Linked DNA regions of Sus scrofa. The protein of the gene in region 1 purifies or fractionates together with the protein of each later gene. This does not show direct contact. Links are inferred from orthologs where the notes say so. Each region holds a gene or a part of one and is shown in the gene's direction. Other genes may lie near its edges.

What was found. The genes of interacting proteins can lie anywhere in the genome.
Region 2: the proteins of CENPA (region 1) and NPM1 purify together in Homo sapiens (affinity purification with mass spectrometry; 4 studies listed by BioGRID and IntAct, with this or other methods). This does not show direct contact. The link is inferred for Sus scrofa from reciprocal best matches to the Homo sapiens genes CENPA and NPM1.

What each region holds. Positions count from the first base shown.
Region 1 is NC_010445.4:112,263,408-112,266,535, reverse strand, and holds the end of CENPA (histone H3-like centromeric protein A), read left to right. Parts: intron 1-375; coding exon 376-453; intron 454-877; coding exon 878-1,012; 3' UTR 1,013-2,624; downstream 2,625-3,128. UniProt on the Homo sapiens protein: Histone H3-like nucleosomal protein that is specifically found in centromeric nucleosomes. Replaces conventional H3 in the nucleosome core of centromeric chromatin that serves as an assembly site for the inner kinetochore.
Region 2 is NC_010458.4:52,771,844-52,775,362, reverse strand, and holds part of NPM1 (nucleophosmin), read left to right. Parts: intron 1-1,528; coding exon 1,529-1,586; intron 1,587-1,887; coding exon 1,888-1,971; intron 1,972-2,727; coding exon 2,728-2,829; intron 2,830-3,519. UniProt on the Homo sapiens protein: Involved in diverse cellular processes such as ribosome biogenesis, centrosome duplication, protein chaperoning, histone assembly, cell proliferation, and regulation of tumor suppressors p53/TP53 and ARF.

The sequences.
Region 1 (3,128 bases):
TTTTTTTATTACCCAATGAATTCATTACATTTATAGTTGTACGATGACATCACAATCCAGTTTTATAGAGACATTATGTCCTTTGATTATGCAAACCCGAACCCTCTCATCCAGCCACCCTTTCATCCCTTGCCCCGCCCTGGGACATGGTCTCCTCCGCTCCACCCCCCACAAGAAGAGACGTGCCATCTCCAGGCTCCCTGGACTTGACCCCAGCCACTAGTCAGGTCCTCGGACGAAGGGCCGGGGAGGAAAAGCGGAAACGGAGATTCCTGGAGACTCACGGAGAGAGGCTGTCCTCTCTTGAATCTCCCTTTCCTCTCTGCTCCTCCCCGCTCCCCTTCTCGCTTGCTCGCCATCCCCCGTCTTTCCCAGGCACGAGAAATATGTGTTCAGTTCACTCGTGGTGTGGATTTCAATTGGCAAGCCCAGGCCCTGCTGGCCCTACAAGAGGTGAGAAGGGGGCCCAGGTCCAGTTGGGTGAGGGGTGCATGTGGGAGAAAGGTAGCGCTGAATCTCACCTCCTTTATTTTTTATTTTATTTTATTTATGTATTATTTATTTATTTTGGCCCCGCTTGCAGCATGTGGAAGTTCCTAAGTCCCGGGCCAGGGATCGAACCCAAACCACAGCAGTGACCCAGGCTGCTGCAGTGACAACACCAGCTCCTTCACCCGCTGCGCCACAAAGGAACGCCTCACCTCCTAGCAAAGAGCAACAGGGAACACCCAGGGGGTTGAAGGGTGGATTCATGCTGGCTGGCGAACAGTCTCTCCCATGTCCTTTGAGCCCTTAGAGACTCAGTTAGCAGGTGCCCCCTGCCCGCCTCCATCCCCCTGGTCTGTGTCAGCCTTTCTACCTCTCTCTCTGTCCCCAGGCGGCAGAAGCGTTTCTCGTTCATCTCTTTGAGGACGCCTACCTCCTCTCCCTGCACGCCGGCCGCGTGACTCTCTTCCCCAAGGACATCCAGCTGGCCAGGAGGATCCGGGGCATTCAGGAAGGGCTCGGCTGAGCTCCCGCCGCCGGTGTCGCTGGAAGCCTCCCCTGCCCCCCCAGAGAATGAGTGCACTTGGGGGAAAACCACCCAGCCTCCCATCACCTCTGAAGGAATTTGCCTTCTCCATCCTTGGTCCTTTGCTGCCCCGCCTGCCCTTTGTTCTCTGGAAAAGATCCGACTAAGTTTTAACTTGAGTGCCTGGGATTCTTTTGAACAATGTTCTCCTTGACTTTATGACCAGACAACGTGCATCTCTGCCAGAGGAGTCCTCTCCACTTCACAAAGACCAGATGACCTCATTTGGATTAAAAGAAAGTTGTTTTTTTTTAATGCCTTGTTAATAAATGTGATTCCTGAATTTCAGAGATGATACCCAGGACTCTGCCCGTTGCAGGACCAGATCCGCGGAGGACGTGTGAGGTGCCGTCTGGACTTGCCGTCCCAGAGCTGTGTGCACGCATTGCTTTTGTAATTCGTTTTTTTTAAGGTGGAGAAGACCGTATGGCTTTCCTCTGTAACCGAGGTGATGTATGAGAGAATCAACACATTCCACAAGCCCTGAGAAAAATTTTTCAGATGAAGAGACTCCAAGGTTGATGTCACTTTGAAAATTATTCATGTGACTGTTGGATGCTTTTGAAGACATCAGGTGTTCTAGGTTATGGGAGAAAAGAATATTTATTGATTATTTTAGATCTTTCTGTACCATGTAATTTTTTTTTTTTTTAACCATATGTCTATTTACATTTATTTAAAACACAAGGGAAAAGTTAAAAGAAGACCACCTCAGGCAGTTGCATGGAAGAGCCTGACTCAGGTAGCATACAACTTTCTGTCCTTCAGATTGATTTCATCCTTAGTGGCAGCAGCCACTTCCTCTGTGCACTGTGCCTGTCACCAGATCGTAGCTTTTCAAAAAACTCAATGGGACGAAAATAGAAAATCGTTCAGGTTTGATGTCCTGGCTCCTTCTGGTAAATTCCTATCAAAATCATTCAGAAATTCGCACTCGTGGAATTTTATTCTCCTTTGAAAAATCAGAGAAGATGTATCATAGTTTATACGTTAGAATGTTTCATTCCAGGATTTTAAAGTGCCTTTGCGATGTTTTTACAGGTATTTTTTTATAAATTCTTTGTGGAGAGAGAATAATAATAAAAGCAATTTTTTAATGAGAAAAATTGAAGCGGTGCTACTGTTTTACAGCGATTGTACTGTGTTCTCTTGTGGTAGCGCTGACTTATTCGCCTGGACACTGTTTGCCAACGGCTGCAATTTAAACAAGAGAACTGGGGGCGGGGGTGCTTTTGGCCTCCACTGGCCCAGAGTATGAGCAGATTAAAAACCTGGCCTTTCTGTTGTGACTGAAAGCGGTTTAAGAGATTTCCAGGGACATGGAAGTACCAGCCAAGAAAGACTTTTAGATTTTTGTGGATTTTGCGTGTGGTAAAAATGATTCGTGAGGGGCAGATACCAGCAATCCAGCGATCATGTGTCATTCAACGAAAGGGAACCACTGGATTCTGTTGTTTGGTAAATTTTAACCCTTTGGAAAAACCTTTTCCCATTCAACCTCAACTCACTTCGATGTAGACATTTGAATAAAGCTTCTCTGTCTATGAATATATTTAATGTCAGAGGGTTATTAATCAGAAGATTATTCTCTTCCTCTAGTTTTCTTTCTTTCTTTCTCTCTTTTGTGCTGTTTAGGGTGGCTGGTATATGGAGGTTTCCGGGCTGGGGTCAAATCGGAGCTGCAGCTGCCGGCCACAGCCACAGCCACAACCACACCAGAAGTGAGCCACATCTGGGACCCACACAGCCCAAAGCAACTCTGGATCCTTAACCCACTGAGCAAGGCCAGGGATCAAACCACATTCTCATGGATCCTAGTCATATTTGTAACCCACTGAGCCACAACGGGAACCCCCTAGTTTTCTTTAAATTGACGCTTCTCTGTTTTCTTAAAATTGTATTAACCAGGACAGCCCTGCAGCACATGGTCACGTGTCACATTCAGATGCAGGCAGGATTTATGCTCTCAGCACCTCGAGTATCCGGTAACATGAGAATAAGTGATTCACAGGGTGACTGTGTTGTTTGCTGTTGCGGTTGACTAAACAGCACTCAC
Region 2 (3,519 bases), on another chromosome or scaffold:
CCGCTTTGAATGGTCCCCAGCACCATTTGTGAAAGACTTTCCCCATTGAATGGCCTTTGCCCTCTTGTTAATAGGGTGAAGTTAGCATGAATAAGAGTTTATTTCTGGACTCCTCAGTGCCAGTCTATGGGAATATGTTGATCCTTTGGCCAGTAAAACACTATCCTGATTTCTGTTTTGTGGTTTTTATAAATTTCAATTTGAAATCACTTAATGTGAATGCTTCAACTTTGTTCTCTTCCAAGGTTGTTTGTGGCTACTTTGGGTTCTTGGAATTTCAGTATGAGTTGTAGGATCAGTTTATAAGCCAGCTAGGATTCTTTTAGAGATTGTTAAATCTGTAGATTAATTTGGAGAGTTGCCACTTTAATCTTGTACTGTCTGTGTGTGTGGAATGTTTCTATTTTAATTTCTTTAAATATCCATTTTCTTTAAATTCTCAGCTGTAAAAAACAACTCACTGTTTACTATCTTCACTATTTAAGTCTACAGTCCAGTAGTTTTAACCATATTCACATCGTTGTGTGACATCTCAGAACTCTACTGAAAACCATAACTGTTGAACAAAAAGTCCCCATTTCTGCCTCCTCCCAGCCCCTGGCGACCATCAATCTTTTGGTTTCTGTAAAAAGTGATTACTTGAGATATTTCAGTGTAAGTGAACTTACACGGTATTTGTCTCTTTGTGATACCTTCTTTCACTTGGCATTATGCCCTGAACACTTATCCATGGGCTGCATTTGACAGGATTTTCCTTAAGACTGAATATTCCACAATATGTATACATAGGTATATGATGTGGGTTTTTTGCCTTTTTAGGGCTGAACCCAAGGCATATGGAGGTTCCCAGGCTAGGGGTCCAATTGGAGCTGTAGCCGCCAGCCTACGGCCACAGCCACGCCACGTTGGAGCCACGTCTTCAAACTACACTACAGCTCACGGCAACCCACTGAGCAAGGCCAGGGATCAAACCCTGCTGAGTCGTGCCGGGAACGCCTATGGATTTTTTTTTTTTTTTTGTCTTTTGTCTCTTGTCTTGTCTTTTTAGGGCCACACCTGCGGCATATGGAGGTTCCCAGGCTAAGGGTCTAATCAGAGCTGTAGCCCCCAGCCTACACCACAGCGACACCAGATCCGAGCTGCATCTGCGACCTACACCACAGTTCACTGCAACGCCAGATCCTTAACCCACTGAGCGAGGCCAGGGATCGAATCTGCAACCTCATGGTTCCTAGTCAGATTCGCTTCCACTGCGCCATAGCGAGAACTCCTGATTTTTTTTTAATACATTTTTAACTGTTGAACATTTGTGTTTCTTCTGCCTCTTAGTAATTAGGAATGTTATGCTGCAGTGAAGATGAAAGCACAGATTATCTTTAAGACCATGCTTTCAGTTCTTTTGTCAACCCCCACAAGTTTGAAAGTTCTTTATACCTTGATTGACTAAGCTTGTAGGTTCATCCATTTCCTGGATAAGTTTTTTAGATTTTTTGAGTCCCTCAGTAATAAGGACTTGCTTCATTTGTAGTGACGATGATGATGACTTTGATGATGAGGAAGCGGAAGAAAAAGCTCCAGTAAAGAAAGTAAGTAAGACACAGTAAAGTAAGATTGTCAGAAATGGCTAAAAACAGAAAATGATGGGGATTTTTTTAGTGCTGTTGGCTTCGGAGACAGTCTCTAAGTCCTGAGTAGGGCTGTCCTGGAAATTTTCCTAATAGTGGGGAATGATCTATTTTCTTCAGCTGTATGGACTTCTCCCTATTATACCCCTTTTGCCAAGATAATTGTTTCCTCTTAGTTTGCTGCTTTTATATGGTTTGGCAAGTTTTATTTGCACTAATAAGTCATATAGGAGGAGCATTGATTAATAATTTCTAATTGCAGTCAATACGGGATACTCCAGCCAAAAATGCACAGAAATCAAACCAGAATGGAAAAGACTCAAAACCGTCAACACCAAGATCAAAAGTAAGTGGTAACATACACATCAGTACAGGCTCCACTGAAGTAATTAGGTTCTAGAACCTAAAATCTGTTAGACCTTTGGAGAACACCTGTGGTTGGTAAAAATGCTTGTTGGTAATCACTCAAATACATAGACAGTTGATCCTTGAACAGTTTATGTTTGAACTGCATGCACGGGTCCATTGTTACACAGGATTTTTTTCAGTTGTAAATACTCCAGGACTGCACATCCACCTTTTGGTTGAGGAACCACAGATGTGGAGGGCTTGTAATTAGTTACACACAGATTTTCTGTCACATAGAGGGCCAGTTTATTGTGTAGCTGACTTCTAATGGAAGAGAAAGTCAACAAAGATTTTTTTATTGTGATACGAAGTTGTGTCAAGGGTCTTATAGTGCAGTTTCTCGGTGTTGGCTGCATCTTGGGGAGGTGATCATTTATATGCTAGGGAATGGGCCTCTGGGCATCAAGCTGCATTAACTTTCTTGCTTCCTTTATGTGTAGAACTTGACCTGGTATTAAATACAAATGTAGGCTCAAACTATTTTCTATTCTCTAAGGAATAATTTAAGCACAAAAAATAGCTGCTGCAGTGACAATGCTGGATTCTTAACCCACTGTGCCACAGGAGAACTCCTATACTTGTTTTTCACAAGAAAAGCTTTGTAAGAATTTCATTTATTGAGAAAATTCAGATAGAATGAGTCTTAACAGCTCTGTGTACTCTTAGGATGTTGAAATTTGCCTTTTTTTTCCAGGGTCAAGAATCCTTCAAAAAACAGGAAAAAACTCCTAAAACACCGAAAGGACCTAGTTCTGTAGAAGACATTAAAGCAAAAATGCAAGCAAGTATAGAAAAAGTGAGTAAAGCTGTCTTAAAGAAAACAGGATTGGTTTATTTCTCCTTCAGATGATGCCTTTCTGGGATTTGGAACAGGACTCTTCTTCCTCATTTTTTTATCTTCAATACACCACTCCTTTTGTGGTGTGAAATTCCTTCAAAAATGGATTACAAGTTACTTACATTATACTTCATATGGTGATTTTTTTTTCCCCACACATTTCAATTTACATATGCTTTATTTCCCACTAAAAGGAATACAAGTAAATAAGTCGTGGGATACATTCTGTCTTCAGATTTTAAAGTGAGCTCAATGAGAACATTTACCTTTGCCTGTTCTGGTTCTGGTTATAAGATGCTATGGAGCCAGCAGGGGGCGTATGAATCTTGTCTAAAATTTCACACAGCTGCAAGAGTCCAGTCTTTGGCTGCTTGGTATTGTAGGGGTTTTTCGTTTTTATTTTGTTTTTTTTTTTTACTTTATTTTTTTGCTTTTTAGGGCCACACTCCTGGCATACAGAGGTTCCCAGGCTAGGGGTCTAATCGGAACTGTAGCCGCGAGCCTACACCACAGCCACATCAACGCCAGATCCTAGCTACATCTGCCACCCAAACCACAGCTCACGGCAATGCCCAGTACTTAACCCACTGAGCGAGGCCAGGGGTTGAACCCAAAACCTCATGGTTCCTAGTTGGATTTGTTTCTGCT